2 linked regions of the Arabidopsis thaliana genome follow. The protein of the gene in region 2 interacts with the protein of the main gene of each other region in a biochemical or structural test. Each region holds a gene or a part of one and is shown on either strand. Other genes may lie near its edges.

What was found. The genes of interacting proteins can lie anywhere in the genome.
Region 1: of the proteins of NP1 (region 2) and SUC1, one has a biochemical effect on the other in vitro, tested with the Arabidopsis thaliana proteins (one study listed by BioGRID).

The regions. Positions count from the first base shown.
Region 1 is NC_003070.9:27,050,650-27,057,806, reverse strand, and holds SUC1 (sucrose-proton symporter 1), read right to left. Parts: upstream 3,778-7,157; 5' UTR 3,474-3,777; coding exon 2,214-3,473; intron 2,128-2,213; coding exon 2,064-2,127; intron 1,925-2,063; coding exon 1,707-1,924; 3' UTR 1,343-1,706; downstream 1-1,342. UniProt on the Arabidopsis thaliana protein: Responsible for the transport of sucrose into the cell, with the concomitant uptake of protons (symport system). This transport is both voltage- and energy-dependent.
Region 2 is NC_003070.9:2,888,407-2,897,301, reverse strand, and holds NP1 (NPK1-related protein kinase 1), read right to left. Parts: upstream 6,282-8,895; 5' UTR 6,192-6,281; coding exon 5,895-6,191; intron 5,779-5,894; coding exon 5,737-5,778; intron 5,641-5,736; coding exon 5,575-5,640; intron 5,475-5,574; coding exon 5,364-5,474; intron 5,285-5,363; coding exon 5,204-5,284; intron 5,121-5,203; coding exon 5,043-5,120; intron 4,903-5,042; coding exon 4,820-4,902; intron 4,679-4,819; coding exon 4,597-4,678; intron 4,516-4,596; coding exon 4,415-4,515; intron 4,304-4,414; coding exon 4,264-4,303; intron 4,180-4,263; coding exon 4,120-4,179; intron 4,036-4,119; coding exon 3,986-4,035; intron 3,888-3,985; coding exon 3,668-3,887; intron 3,552-3,667; coding exon 3,381-3,551; intron 3,288-3,380; coding exon 2,935-3,287; coding exon of another isoform or gene 2,907-2,934; intron 2,673-2,906; coding exon 2,602-2,672; intron 2,410-2,601; coding exon 2,315-2,409; 3' UTR 2,120-2,314; downstream 1-2,119. Other genes in the region: AT1G09010 (glycoside hydrolase family 2 protein), read left to right, coding at 1-36, 117-761, 929-1,156, 1,309-2,043; PGSIP5 (plant glycogenin-like starch initiation protein 5), read right to left, coding at 6,549-7,034, 7,198-7,664, 7,802-8,549. UniProt on the Arabidopsis thaliana protein: May be involved in an oxidative stress-mediated signaling cascade that phosphorylates downstream MAP kinases MPK3 and MPK6. May suppress auxin signaling that promotes cell cycle.

The sequences.
Region 1 (7,157 bases), about 24 Mb from region 2:
AGGTTTATTAGATTTTACCTTTTCATTTATTTGGGTTTTGCACAATAATACTGTATTTGTCTATTTGATGAATTTCATGAAAAGGGAACATAGAAAATTAATGGAATCCAAGGTGACACTGTCACACTACTATCATTTGTAGTATCACAATTGCCAAACTTAAAACTCCTTAAAAAAAGTCATGTACAAAATCTTATTTACCCTCATTTTTCAAATAATTAAATGACATAATTTAAAAACCTTAATTATTTACAAAATCCAAATATATATATCAATATTTCAAAACCTCTAGTTGAATAAGAGGTTTCAATCATTTGTGGTAAATTGCATAAGAGGTAATGAAAGGATGATATGATTGTATCCTTAACATTAAATTGTGAGGCTGAATTTGTTATTTTAACACAAATCATTTAAAATGTTTAATTGAATACACACTCCGAATGTATTATAAAGTAGGATTATTGCCTATCAAAAATCTTGCCTCGGTTTACAAAAAAAATAATCAAAAATCAAAAGACTGGGCTGATACACCTTAGTCTTAAAAGGAGTATTGATCCAGGCCAAATTATAGAAGGCTTCAAGTCTGTCCAAATTGAAAGTTGTATTTTGATGTATCTATTATATTTATTTAGCCCAAAGGCCTTCATTTATGTTACGCCAGCCTTGTTTTGATCGTTTGCAACTTAACACAATAGACTGTCCTTTGTTGATTCGATGTGTTCTGAAATCAACATACTTGCCAAAGTTGCCAATTAACGAAGTCGTGACAACTGAGTCCGAATTGTATAAAATGGATATGGACTACCTGTTCTTACTCACTAATTAAGCAGTATAAACATTCTTATATTTTAGGCAAATATTCTAAAAATTGGTGGAAAAAACTTATATATAGATATGTAAAATGTTGTATCGCCACTGAGGGTTCAAGCCCGCATATTGTTGACCAAAACAATCTTTCATTTTGTAATATAAAAAATGATATACTTATAAATGATATTGTATGATCTTCAAAAACATTGGTTGTTGCCTAGTATAAATCATCAAGTTGTTAAGTGTCATACTGTGCTAAGAAACATACTGTATAGTTTATATTATAATACAGTGTGTTTATAGAATACAAAAATGTCATATTGATTGGACTAGTTGTTTGCAAGAATATTTAAGGTTTCTTATTTAATATTTAATATTTTAATATCTTCTAGGTTTATATTTTATGTACTTACATGAGAATTGTTTTAATATTTATTAATAAGTATTTTTAAAATTATTAATCATATTAATTAATTTAACTGGTATTATTAATGGTTATTTATCGCCTAAACCGTTCTAAACTACATAAATTGTTCAACTTGTTCCCTATATATAAAAGAATTGCCATACATTATTATCAAAATTTTCTTTTCTGAGGGTAGAGGGAATTACTTTCTAGTTGGATATTTGTTCTACCGAAGCAAACAGTAAACAATTGTACTCAACACACAAATCTTATTTAAGGGCAAAAAAAAAAAACATTCTATTTCAAATTAAAATAAGTGACAAAAGTTATAAAAAAAGAAGAAAAAAAACTAAAAAAGGGTGAAATACAGACGACCCAAGGTTTATTAGATTTTATCATTTTATCCATTCTTTTCTTTTATTTGGGTTTTTGCAGTTTCGCACAGTAATACTGTATTTGATGAGTTTCATTAAAAAAAAAAAATAGTAAACTAGTGGAATCCTCCCATGGTCGTTGCCTTGGGTGCGTCCGGTGGTGGTGAAGGTAAAACGGTTAACGCTAATACTCCACTAATCGCCGCTGCAATTGCTGCAACGATAAACGCCGGTAAGTTTCCACCGCCGAACAAGGCGTCGAAAGGTCCACCTCCTAGTGAGACTATCATTTGTGGTATCACAATCGCCAAATTTAAAACTCCTAATGAAAGTCCTGTAAATCAAAACATCACAAAAACAATTTAAATACCTATGTTATAATTGCATAAGGTGGATGAAACCAAAATATAATAGTTACGGTCCCACATATTTGTAACTTTAGTAACTTTAATATTAAAGATGTATATATTTACCTTGGCCTGCACCGGAGCAGCTTGAGAATATGGATGCTAGAGCAAAAGGAGTACTGAAAGTAATCTGTAAATAATAAAAAACGAATCGATTAATGTTAGTTTAAGCAAAGCAAAAAGTTTTTTAACAAGACAACACAAAAGTGTACTTACAGCTAATGGGATACCAAGAACAGCAAAGAGACTTAAAGCTCCAGCTTTAACACTAGCGCTCGGTCCGGCTAAATCACCGGCGGTTTTCCGGTGATCCTCGGCGAATTTCGTAACGAGAACCGTCATGGCCAAACCAGCGGCTAGGATGAAATTGACAATACCCCAAAGCCGTTTAGCTCCTCCTAATTTCCGACCAATCCATTCAACACCAAGTGACATGAAACCAAGAACTATAGAGTTAAACATCAATCCCATTGCACCAGATTGGACTCCAAGACTGTATAGTTTCTTCGATCGTTCATTTCCATCTGAATCTCCACCGAACACTTCACGACCCATCCAATCAGTATCGAACAAAAGAAATGGGAACCAAGCGATCCAGTTTAAGGCCGTGACGATTAGAAGCATCCACATGGGACGTTTCATGACTTTGAATGCTCCAAAGATTTCACCGAACAAAGGAACGCTTGAGGTCTTCTCGTCGTCGTCGGCATTTCGCGGCGGCGGAGACCATTGTTTGTCATTAACGTACCAAAGAGACGTGACGGTGACGATGAGGAGGAGAGTGATGGATAAGAAGAAACAAGTCTTGAGATTGGCGCAATAGATATCGCAAGCTTTTGTCATTGTGAACGGAAACATCTTGTGGAGGTTAGTGTACGAACCAGCCGCATAACCCAAAACGTTTCCAACCGCCATAAAAAAAGAGAAAAACGCGTTTGCGACTCGCGTTCTCTTAGCGTCACCGGCGGCTAAGTCGGCTAAGAAAGCACGGCAAGGTCCTTGTAAGGTGTTGTTGGCTACGTCGAGGATCCAGAACCCGAGAGCAAAGATCCCTATAGCTCGAACTTTAACCTTCTCCTCGAGTTTATCTCCCATTTTATAACCGAAATCCGCAGCGTAACCGATGAGGAAAACAGCGACGGCGACGAGTGCGGCTCCGGTGGCGATGAAAGGACGACGGCGACCAAATTTGGACCTACATCGGTCACTGTGGAAACCGACGATTGGTTGAACAATCATGCCGGAGACTGGACCACAGAGCCAAATGAGAGATGACCATTTGTGAGGGATTCCGAGGAGTTGAACGTACGGAGTAAGAAGAGAGAGCTGTAAGGCCCACCCGAACTGTACACCGGCGGCGATGGAAGCGACGGAGATGATTTTACGAAGCGGAGATGGTTGATCGAAATCTTCCGGCGACTGTGTCTCTAGAGCCGCCGCATCTTTAGTTGGTTTTTCTGTTTCATAGGCTCCCATTATCAGGAAGTAAAAAAAAAAACACGAATAGACAAAATAGAAACTTTAGAGGAAAAAAAAGAAAAGAAAATTTGTTTATTTTTCTTTTTCTTTTTTTTTTTGTTTTTTTCTGTCTTCTGTTTTTTTTTTTTAAGTGAGGTTTTTGTTTTGTGATGTAGGAGATGAGAGAATGGAGTTGTATTTATAGGCGAGGAAGAAGAAGAAATGAGAGTTTTATTTTGATTTTCTTATTACACTTGGAGATGATTATTTTTCGGATAAGAGACAGAGTTAGAAATTTTAATTGTGTGAGTGTATGGCAAGGTAGGGACACGTGTCAGTTAGAACATTAACTCTCCTGTTCTTTTGTGTTCTGTTTTTACGGGAATTTAATTGGTTTCGCTTTTTTCTTGCATCAAGTGACTTGGACGTTGATTCAATTTCTCTCTCACAGTTTTTTTTTAATAAAAAAAGTTCCGATATTCAGTACCGTTTTGTTTGGGTAAACAATAAAGTTTCTATGATTCCGATTGGGTAGACAAATTTAAACAGTGTGTATATTTATATGTACTATATCACATAAGTCACATCTGATTATCGGAGAACAATTATTTTGTTTGGTTTAAAATAAATAATTGTGAATTGTCCAAATCCCTAATTTATATGGTACTAAAAGAATGAAATATCTAGAAGATACTAAGAAATGTCTTTGATTTAAGATGGAAAAACGACTTATATGCACCCTCTATACTTAAAACTCACTAGTTCATAGCACCTAATGAGATAGATGGTTCAGGGCAACATATACACTATTCTTTTTCGGACAGTGAAGTTATATTCACGATCACCTACCATAATTAATTGGCTTATCTAGCGTAATAATAGTTGTAGATCAAATCATAACATATCCGGCTCCAATTACGGTCATGGATCAAGCATCGCCAAATATTCTCTGATCATGGATTATATTTCCGCAATATTCATAGTCTGGAGATTATCACAAAAAGATCCGAGTGGCCAAACACTTTCCAAAACTAATGCACACACATTCTTATCCGAACAGTCCCAAAGATGGTATGCTATCTTTCACGTCCATATATTTTAGAACCAAATGTTATCCTTGACGTCCAAGTCTTTCGACCCAACATCAGCTTTGTAAACATTAAATTAATTTTATCATTTTTGCATTGATCACAAACTACTGAAAAATCACTTAGTTTGTATGGTGAGTTTTTTTTTCGACGAAAAGATAGTATATTTTGGCAATGTTGTTAACTAGTGATGGACTGAAGGATATCAAATTTAATTTTTTAAAAAAAAAAACATTGTGACAACAAAATAACAAATATAGAAGCATTCAATTATATATATATATATATATAAAGGGAAAATAATCAGTATTTGTCCGCCACTAATTAGTTGTTAAATTGCCTAAAATCCAATATATATATTAAAGTTTACATATTAATTAGTTTCTGTCAAATATCCAAAATTAAGCGAATTGTGTAACGGAGTTATGTGACAGAAACTTTAACCCTAAAATTTGCTTCTTGTAATGCAAGATACGATCGCAACTCAAAACTCATTTCCCATTTATTTTGGATTGTTTATCCGACCAATTAAGCATTTTAATTTTAGTCACTACATTTTTGTCTTCGAGCTGAATAGTACTCTATATACATTTTCTCCAGTTTTCAACGGGCAGACGACTTGAAAATATATTAAAATAACCAAAGCATTTACTAGTATAACTCTTGGATTTTAGTTGTCTGTGAATTAGTCTCAAATGGCTCACATGTTTGTCAACTCCTTACGTTGTCTTTCTACTCCTCAAGTCTCAACTACTTGGACGTATGTTCCATTTGTTGTTAATTTTCACTGTAGTTTCAATTATCTCTCTATTCGCTTATTTTAACTATATGAATAGGTTGTGCAAACAATTTATTTTACCCGTCTATCTGATTAGTAACACTCCAACATATTGGTTGTGAACCGAAAACTTAACTGAAATAAAACCAAATTGGTTAAGCTGTGTTTTGGGAATCGATAAAATAAGGCAGGATTCAATGTTGATAGATATATTTGGATAGAGAAAATAACAGTCAAAAATAGGCCAATGAGAGAGGATATAACTTCCGATCAACCTAAATATATAGTAATACTATCATATTAAAAAAACATTTTGCCCAAAAATAAATAAAAATAATCATATTAAAAAAAGATTATTAGTGTTTATAGTAGACACAAAGAAGAAGAAGCTATTCTTCACATAAGAAAAGAAAAGCAACGTATATTTCGAGGGCGACTTTCTCTCTATTTTCGTTTGTTTTTTTTGAATGCCTTTCGGAAAACAAATCAATATTAGTGTAACCACAGAAGAATATATCTGAAAACATAATGTCAAAAGTTTATATGGTACATTACATAATTTCAAAATATTAATGACAGAAAAATATATACAAAATATTAAAGAAGAAGAAGAAGCAAGAGTAATTATTAAGGCCACCTAAATTATCTTTTGGAATTATAGAAATATCCATAGGATACGTACTCTTTTTCGTTTATATATAAATAATCAATCTTAATTCAAGATTCAATTAGGTAGATAACCAAATTCTGGAACTTAGTTAGGTGAATGACTATGAAATATTTTATCAGAAAATACCCTCAAATGGAGTACAAATATATATATATATATATATATATATATATATATATCTTTCTATATATATAGACATATCTTTCTATATGTGATATATGCATGAGAAATTAGTTACCAAAATATAAATCATTATAAATCACCAAATGTTATGTTATATGACCTTAGCCAAATATACAGCATTAAACATCATTAACAAGGTTCAAAACATTTGCATCACTTTTTGTAGCGTTTTTATTTATTTACTCATGACTCATTAAGTAAAAGAAAAATTACATCCACTTTATGAAATAAAATCAATGTATCCCGCAAAACAAAGTGGACACTAGATCAATGCAATTCATTTCCTTATAGTTTCAGGGACATGACAATAATACAGGTAACATGAATTATTAAAATTCAAAAGGTTTTGTCAAAATGAAATTATAATTTTTTTTCCCGAAATTATAGGGTCGGGGATCGGGACCCCAAGAGAGGATTATAGTTTGTTGTAGCCTAACGAGATCGTGGTTCGCCCCATCATTATGCACTCGTAGTTGAATATGACTCGGCAATGAGTATTTTTGCTTAATTTTCTTTTAAAGTTCAACTATTCACCATATTATTCTATGAGATTAGTCAACATATTAATCACTGGAAGATCCAATATTAATCATTTAGAACACTATAGAAGTGTAAAAGAGATCAATAAAAATAATGTAAAAGAAAAACAGAACGAAGAGAATGCTAGCTAACAATAACATTCTTAGAGAGAGAGAGAGAACGGCTTATACTTTTCGATTTTTCATCCAAAATAATATTAGCTGAAAAAACATAAACAAGAAAAAAAATAGATAACAATATTTCAAAACTGCCTTCGTCGCACAACGATTAAATATTTCACTCTGCACCACGTTAAGATCTCGTTGAATAAGTCTATTCGATATCTATGTTTTGCTTCACATAACATGTTTAATGTTCAAACAGTTACTAGTTTTTAACTACTTCAACTCAACGTAACTCTTAACAATCGAAAAAGACGAAAAATAATCTGTGGTAGAATGTTT
Region 2 (8,895 bases):
GAGTTTTATCACTTTTGTGATATCTACGGCTTGTTGGTATGAATCTTAAGTTATTCGCTATCACCCTTCTTCCAAAATTCATTGCCATTTCTGAAGTATACCTTATTTATTCTCAGGTGTGGCAAGAGTTTTGGATCACTGGCGATGTTGATGGAAGAGGTGTTCCAGTATCAAATCCGAATGGACCACTAGACCATGAATTATTCCTCTTATGTGCTCGTGATACTGTCAAACTTCTGAGAAACCATCCAAGCCTGGCTCTTTGGGTGGGTGGAAATGAACAAGTTCCGCCAAAAGACATAAATGAGGCTCTAAAGCAAGACCTTAGGCTTCATTCTTATTTTGAAACCCAATTGTTATCAGACAAAGATTCAGATCCTAGTGTTTATCTTGACGGTACTAGAGTTTATATTCAAGGATCTATGTGGGACGGCTTTGCAGATGGAAAGGGGAACTTCACTGACGGCCCTTATGAGATTCAATACCCTGAAGATTTTTTTAAAGACACATATTACAAGTATGGGTTCAATCCGGAGGTCGGCTCGGTTGGAATGCCAGTTGCAGAGACGATAAGAGCGACAATGCCTCCAGAAGGTTGGACGATTCCTCTGTTCAAAAAGGGTTTGGACGGGTTTATTAAAGAAGTGCCAAATCGAATGTGGGATTATCACAAGTACATTCCATATTCTAATCCTGGAAAAGTGCATGACCAGATTCTGATGTACGGTACTCCAGAGAATCTCGATGACTTCTGCTTGAAGGTAAATTTGGGATCTTAACCGTTTTAGCCTTTACTGGTGTTGTCTTACCCTGGTGCATAAATGTTACTTTTCCCCTTAACTTAATAATGCAATGTCTATGTTCGATTAATAAAAGAAACTTGAGATCATAAGTGATATATTATGACTTGGTTTTTCCTCTGTAACAGGCTCAACTGGTAAACTACATTCAGTACAGAGCTCTATTCGAGGGTTGGAGTTCGCAAATGTGGACGAAGTACACGGGTGTCTTGATCTGGAAGAACCAAAATCCATGGACTGGTCTCAGAGGTCAATTCTACGATCATCTTCTCGACCAAACAGCCAGTTTCTATGGCTGCCGTTCCGCTGCAGAGCCAGTCCATGTACAATTGAACCTGGCAAGTTACTTTGTTGAGGTCAGTGTGATTAGTTACTCTCTCTCTCTCTGACAATCACTGTGTACGAAGGTCTCTCGAAATTAGATTCTTGATCTAAATAAGAAGTGTATAAAAGTCTAATAAATTATGTAAATAATACATGGAATCATGTCCTTTGACCCCCCGCACAGGTTGTAAACACGACTTCTAAAGAGCTGTCGGATGTGGCAATAGAGGCATCAGTATGGGACCTAGACGGGAACTGCCCATACTATAAAGTGTTTAAAATTGTCTCTGCCCCACCAAAGAAAGTTGTGAAAATATCGGAATTCAAGTATCCGAAAGCAGCAAACCCAAAGCATGTATATTTCCTTCTTCTCAAACTGTACACTGTCTCAGACAAAGCAGTTATATCCCGGAACTTCTACTGGCTGCATCTGCCTGGAAAAAATTACACACTCTTGGAGCCGTACAGGAAGAAGCAAATACCTCTCAAGATCACTTGCAATGCAGTTATGGTGGGTTCAAGATATGAGCTGGAGGTCAATGTTCATAACACATCTAGAGCTAACTTAGCCAAAAACGTTGTCCAGGAAGACGAAAAACGTGATCTGGGGTTGCTCCAGAAACTCTTTAGTAGATGTGTTGTTTCTGCAGATAGCAACCGTGGTTTGAAAGTAGTGGAAATGAAGGGATCGGATTCAGGAGTTGCTTTCTTCCTTCGTTTCTCAGTTCACAATGCAGAGACAGAGAAACAAGATACGAGGATTCTACCAGTACACTACTCAGACAACTATTTCTCACTAGTTCCAGGTGAATCAATGTCTTTTAAGATCTCATTTGCAGCTCCTACAGGCATGAAGAAGTCTCCTCGTGTTATGCTTCAGGGCTGGAACTACCCTGATAGGTTTAGTGTTTTTGGTTGAGACTATTCATGTTTCATGTTTGTTACATAACTGCCTGTAATCTCGAACCTTTCAATAAATGAAACTTGCACAGGTTTTAGCAATTTGTAGCGCACTTAAATATGCACCCGACACTCACATTACACACATCTAATACCTTCAACAACCAGTTCAGAATCATATATTCAGACCAAACCTCGTGTCTACTTTTCATCACAGCAAGATAAGAGTTACAGATATATATACTAGTTGAGCAATCAAAAATCAAAAAGCCGGAGACTTTTTGTGCAAGTCATTTTCCTGGTGATGCAAACCTCGACTTCTCTCTCTGTCGGCTCATGCCTCTGTCTCTTGGGGATGATCCCAACCCTGCTTGGCGCATGATTTCTGCAATAACATAAACCACAAGTCAACTTACCAAGCTTACAAAAAGTGGATGCTACAATGTCATGTTTCTCAACATTACATGATTGCATGTTAACAGTGGTCAATGCAAAGCGCCGAATTCTAAATTCTAAATATGTAAAACTTAAAGAGAATCTTTGACATTTTTTTGCTAGATTAATAAGAGTGACATACCTTGTCGCTTTCTTTCCAGTTCTTGATCAAGCTCTTCCTTCCACTTCTTCTCTATCTCTGACAAAGCAACACTGCAAAGCCAAAACCAGCCAATTCAAGCAGATTCAGGAATGAAACAAGAAGCCTAGACTAAGTGACAGATTTAAATCGTTGCTGGTCAATAGCTAGGCTGAATTTAAACTCTACACGTTTGGAGTTGGGTGATCATAGCTTAAGATAAGCATGAATGGGACTTATTTCTGTCTTCTTGATTCCTACCGAGTTTCTAAAAGAGGAAATTAAGGAAATGTCTAAATCCTTAAAACTTAAATCCCAATTATCGCAGCCACTAACCACTGGCTTAATTCCTGCTTAGTGTCAACAACGAGACCCCTCCAGTCTGTGACCCGTGCTGATACACCATCCTGTGAAGCTTCATCACCTCCATTGTTAATATTCAATTCACGACTACCTCCACTTCCTGGGCTCTTGGAACAACTAGTTGCGTCTGTTGCTCTTGAAGGTGAACCACCAAGAGGGCCCCGACTCGGTGACCTGCTTTTTGGAGGCAGTTTCAGGAAACCACGAGCAGTGTCCTCTCTTTTACTGTTACTTAAATTACTCTCCATACAACTGGGAGAGAATGTGATCAAACTATTGTAGAATTCTTCATAGAGAGGAGTCTGTAACTTCTTTAGATCTGCAGCCTGAGACAAATACATATTCACTGCCATGTTAGTGATTTACGTAGAAAATGCAGTGAGGACAATGAATAATGTAGTATAATGTGCATGAGGGACCTTCTCATCTAAGAAAGCTTTAATTTTTGACTCGGTCAGCTCATCATCATCCTCTGAGTATGAAGGTTGGTCACATTCCATGCTCATTGTAGACTCTTTCTCTCCATTACCAGGACTTTCGTCAAATTTGGACTTCAAAGCAATGGACATATCACTTATGTCATCACAGCTCTGTACACATAGATTTTATAAGTAATGCTTACAAAACAAATTGAAACATGATCCAAACAAGAGTTGAGACTTGATCAGCCATTGGAATTCTAAATGAGAAATCATATGTATGCTACCTTCTTCAGATGACAATCTTTTTCAAGGGTAGAACTCATTTCTCCGTCAAATGTCAAGAAATTCTCATCATCTATCAAACACATATCGTCTTCATCACCTCCATTATCATTTTGTTGCCATAAATTTTTGTTTTGGATTGATTTCACAGGATCTACAAGTGAATAATTCAAACTGCCAAAGTTACACATGTCACCTACATCGTCGCAAGTAGAATCTGGACTGAAACAAAGGAAACAGACAATAAACCATCAAAATCTTTCATAAACCCACAAAATAATCTTAGAAATTTTGGTTTCAGCCAGATATTCAGAACTTACGTGCTCTTGGTGTTATTTATCTGTAACGGTAGTGGAGTGCTAAGATTGTTCTGGAAAATAACAAAAATAATTTTATCAAGATGGCTTCAAGAAAAAGTTATATGATATTCATAAGACGGTTAACATCCACCCACCAGGACAGAACCAAGATCAGTAGAAGCAGACTCCTTGTGTTTCCCCATAACAAAAGGATGCTGCGAATAAAACAAAATCAGGAATTTTACTCAAACCTTTCCAATTTAATATTGCGGGCATCACTCAAACTATTTATACTTCACCTTTAGTAGCTCAGATGCGGTTGGCCGCAGATTTGGTACCCTGTCAAGACGGATCCAATGATTCAGCAATTCCAAAGACAAGACACAATAGTAGTGAAGGAAGTTACTATTAAAAGTTCCAAACTAATGTTGCTGAAGCAAAGTAGCTTACTCCTGCAGACACTTGAGCAGAAAATCTTTTGCATCAGAGGAGAGAGTATCAGGTATTGGAGGATGTGATTTTGTTGTTCCTATGAAGAAGATAGCAGCAACCTGAAAAGAAAGTATGTCCACTTGTAATTAAGAAGCAAAATTATTCACGAAAAAATATCACCAGAAATACGAACAAATTACCTCTTTATACTGCTGACTCCAAGGAGCCTTCCCAGTCACCATTTCAATAACTGTACAGCCGACGCTCCATATGTCAGCAGAGCTGAGAACAATAGCCACAGGTTTGTGAGAAATCAAAAATATGGGACATAAGTCACCAGGACTACAATTAATAGCCACAATTGTATGAGTATCAGTTACAAAACATCTAATTTTGCATTTACGAGCACGCTTGGTTTCTTACAAGCTATGTCCAGTTTGAAGAATAACTTCCGGAGCCATCCAATATGGTGTCCCTTTCATAGATTTTGCACCAGTCATCGTAGCCTAGAGATGAAATCAAGTCAATCACATTAAATCACTCTGAAGGATATGTTATACTAGACCAACTAAGAAATAAGAGAATACACAGAACAGAATGCTTCCTGCAATATACTTTGTAGAAAACAAATTATTTTTTGACTTACCAACTCAGCTACTTGTTTGGATGCACCAAAATCAGCAAGCTTAATGCATCCTTTATTATCCACAAGGATATTAGCCCCCTGAGAAAACATAGAAACATATAGTCTCATGGGTAAGGACTCGAGATTGTAAGCACTTATAAAGTATGGAGAAAAATTGTTACCTTAATGTCTCTGTGCATAATTGCATGATTGTGCAGGTACTCCAACCCTAAAAGCAGTTGCCTTGTGTATGTCCGGACAACCTAATTCAATCGTTCTCACCACTTAAGCAATGCACACATTGTAAGAGATTGAACAAAAAAAAATCCAAGCATGACTTACTGATTCAGGAAAAGGTCCAAATTTCTCCAAGAGCGATGATATCGATCCACCGGGAACAAACTCGAGAAGGATATTCAGGGTATCATCTTCCCTCACTGTACCCAAATATCTCTAAGGCCAGAAAATAAAAAATACCTGAGTTAGATAGATAACACAAGGAAGTGTTGAATCCGTATGCATTGAGAAGGAGACAATACCAACAGTTACTTACAACTATATTAGGATGGGAGAGATTTTTAAGAAGCTTAACTTCTTCTTCAAGCTCCTGAATATGAGCCTACTTAGCACCAACACAGATAACAAACTCAATGAAGTACAAAAATCAATGGAAATTGAAAGAGGGAAAACTCGATGAAATGGATTGTTTATGAACCTGAGTCTTTTCCTTGGAAGCAAAATTGGCTGCAATCAGAACCTGAGTAGAACAAAGCTTTTGAAGTTCAGTACACATGCCAGAGAATTAGGTCATTCAAAATTAAGTCCCAATTAGCTTCAAATCCACAGCAATCAGAAAAACAAACCCTAAATTACCTGTTTGACGGCGAGAAGCTCCCCGGAGTCAAGATTCATACCCATGTACACCGTACCAAACGCGCCGCGACCAATTAACTGACCTTTCCTCCACGAAATCGGAGGTGCCATGTCTACAGTGTTAGCAGGAGGAGGAGGCGAGAAGGAGGGTTTGATAAAAATCTTCGATTTGCGGATGCAAGAGGTGATCTTATCGGCGAGAACACCGGGAAACGGAGGCTGGTTCTCCTGGTTATCGTCGTCGGAAGAAGGACGGAAAACAAGCGATCGACGAACGGAGCCGAAGAAATCTTGCATTTGAACGATTGAGGGAAGAATGCGTTTCACTGTTACTCTAATTTTGATTCATCGGTCGGCACAAAAGTGTTAACGAGTGAGAGGGAAAAAAGGCATCGAAATTATATTTTTGAAAAGAGAAAATTACTTTACTTAAATTACGCATATTATTATTCCAAATAAAAGTATGGTTATTAGTCTTTGTAAAAAACTAAAAATACTTTCACTCGAACGAAATATATATCATAACTACGTATAATGTTTTTCCTTCATAATCCACAATTACCTGTTAGAAATTAAATTCCCTTTCAAAATCTTTACGTAAAGAAAAAAAAAAAATTAAGTCTCTTGTTGAATAAGCGAGTTTGATGACTCTTCTCATTGACTTAGACGGTTCTTCTTCCTAGGATCTTTTATTCTAATTTTCCAATGATTTTCAGGAAAACCATTGAGCTTAGCCATTTTCCTCCACTTCTCAACGTTCTTCTCCATCTTAAGATTCAAACCACAATAACCTTTCAGCTTCTTAGGCATCTTGTCGTACACTTTCCACCATCTCGCATGCACCGACTCGCTTGCATACACACGTCGCGTTTTCAAGTCCCAGTTACAATCGTAGTCTCTGTAACATCGCCATGGTTTTAGTCCCAAGTAGTGTATGCCCTCTAAATTTTCTGGAAGATTGCGCGCTTTATCATGCCTGCTTTCATCACCAAAGTATTTCATCGTATTTAAACGTTTTGATAACCTATGCCACCACACGAAATATTCGTTCAGAAATCCTTGGTCTCCCCCGTTGTATGACCCGATCTTGAATGATTTAAGCATCAAATCCTCGAATAAACAAGCTGATGGCTCCAGAACCTGAAGAAAACCAGACTTTCTTATATAAAACATATGGAAAATTCGATAAAATAAAATAGTAAGAAATGGATTGATAAGGCAATATCTTTAGAAACTTAAAAAAGTCAACATATTCAAATCAAACAATCTATTGTTAAAGATATTTGTTAGTTAGATGCATTACCATGACTCCTGAGTTGAACAAGACTTTGTTATTGCCAGCGGCAGAAAGTTGAGGATAGGAGAAAAGGTAATCAATATTCTTGACGATGATGAAGTCTGCGTCTATAAACACTAGTTTGTCGTAATCTGTCACTTGCCACACACGTAACTTACTGTAGTTCCACTCATTGTAAGAACGCTTCTTGGAAAAAGGACTACGAATTCTCTCCACTCGCCGTAGTTTCCAGCCAGCAAGGCTTAGGCCAATGAGAGAGATGTTGGTTATAGAGTCATCGTGGAGGAGAATCATGTCCTTGGTTGATCCAGATTGCCTTATGCTTTGTGCTAAGGCTATTGCTCCGCATACGTATACCTCCGATGAGTGTAGTAACGTCACGTAAGCGACACGTTGGGCAGTAAATGATGATAATGTAGTTTTTTCGGATGTGAGATTTCTGTTCTTGTCTTGTATCCATGCTTCTCCTTGACCTTTAACAACGAATAAGAAATAGTTAGCGAAACATTGGAATTTTTTAACTATGCATTATGTCATCATGCATGCGACAATAAATAAATAAATAAATGAAGAAAACATATTGACCTATGAATAATAAAGCCAAAATTACCTAGCGGAGCAATCTGACATGAACCAGGAGGCATGAGAAGCTTCTGCTTCAACCTCGTAAGATCAGGCCTATAGACCCAATAGTCCCCCACGCGCTTCACGCGCTCATCACACCTAAAGATCTCATGCATAGGCCCACAAGATCCGATGAAGACAACGTACACAGTCCGATCAACATTCCTCCGACCACTCTCCACCACAAGATTCGCTGCCGCCAGATTCACCTGTAGCCTGAAAACGTCTCTTAACCCTCTCTTCTCCGAGAAACCATCGCACGGGACTTTGACAACGACGACGTCCACGTCAGCTTCGGAACCTTCCATCTTAGGGAGAGGGACTTCTGGACAACTAGGAATGTGCCACGTGTGATCCTCGTCGATCCAAACCGGGAATAAACTCGTCCATGTCAGATTGTTCGGAAGAGGATCGAGCGACACGTGGACATTCTCCAAGATCGACGTCCCGCTTGCCTCGTAGCTCTCTCGCTCGTTCTCTGCGATGTTGAGAAGACCCACTCGGATCTTTTTCTCATCCGGAAGATAGTTTCTAATGAGTCGGAGCCATATCGGAGTCCGTTTAACCGGTTCCGGCAAAGAATAACGAATCTCAACTATCGAAGGAGAAGCGATCATGGGGTTGAGCAGAAACAGAGGTTTAAAGTTTAAGAGCAAACCCAAAAACGACAATGATATTAGTATAAGATAAAACATAAAAAATCTCGTACTCGAACTTTTGCTTTTGGCCCCCATTTTCCCCCAACTCTCTCTCTCTCTATGCTCTTAGCGATGTCTATAAGATACATGTAATGTGTACGTGAATTTTTCATAATCTCATATACATCAACGTATATGTGCGAATTCATGGGTGTATGATTGAAGAAGGATCTTGAGATGCATGGACGCACGTTGGCGTAGAAGTCAATTCGTTAGGTGAGTCTACGAATAATTGTGTAATAAACTTCCATGCGCAAGTTAGGCGCCTGTTTTGTGTTGTAATTAAGAATTAGTTTGAACAACAGGTACAGGTGTATCGGATATATATCAAATTGGTGACCAAGCTTGTGATTGTTTTGTTTTTAAATAGCGATATCAAACA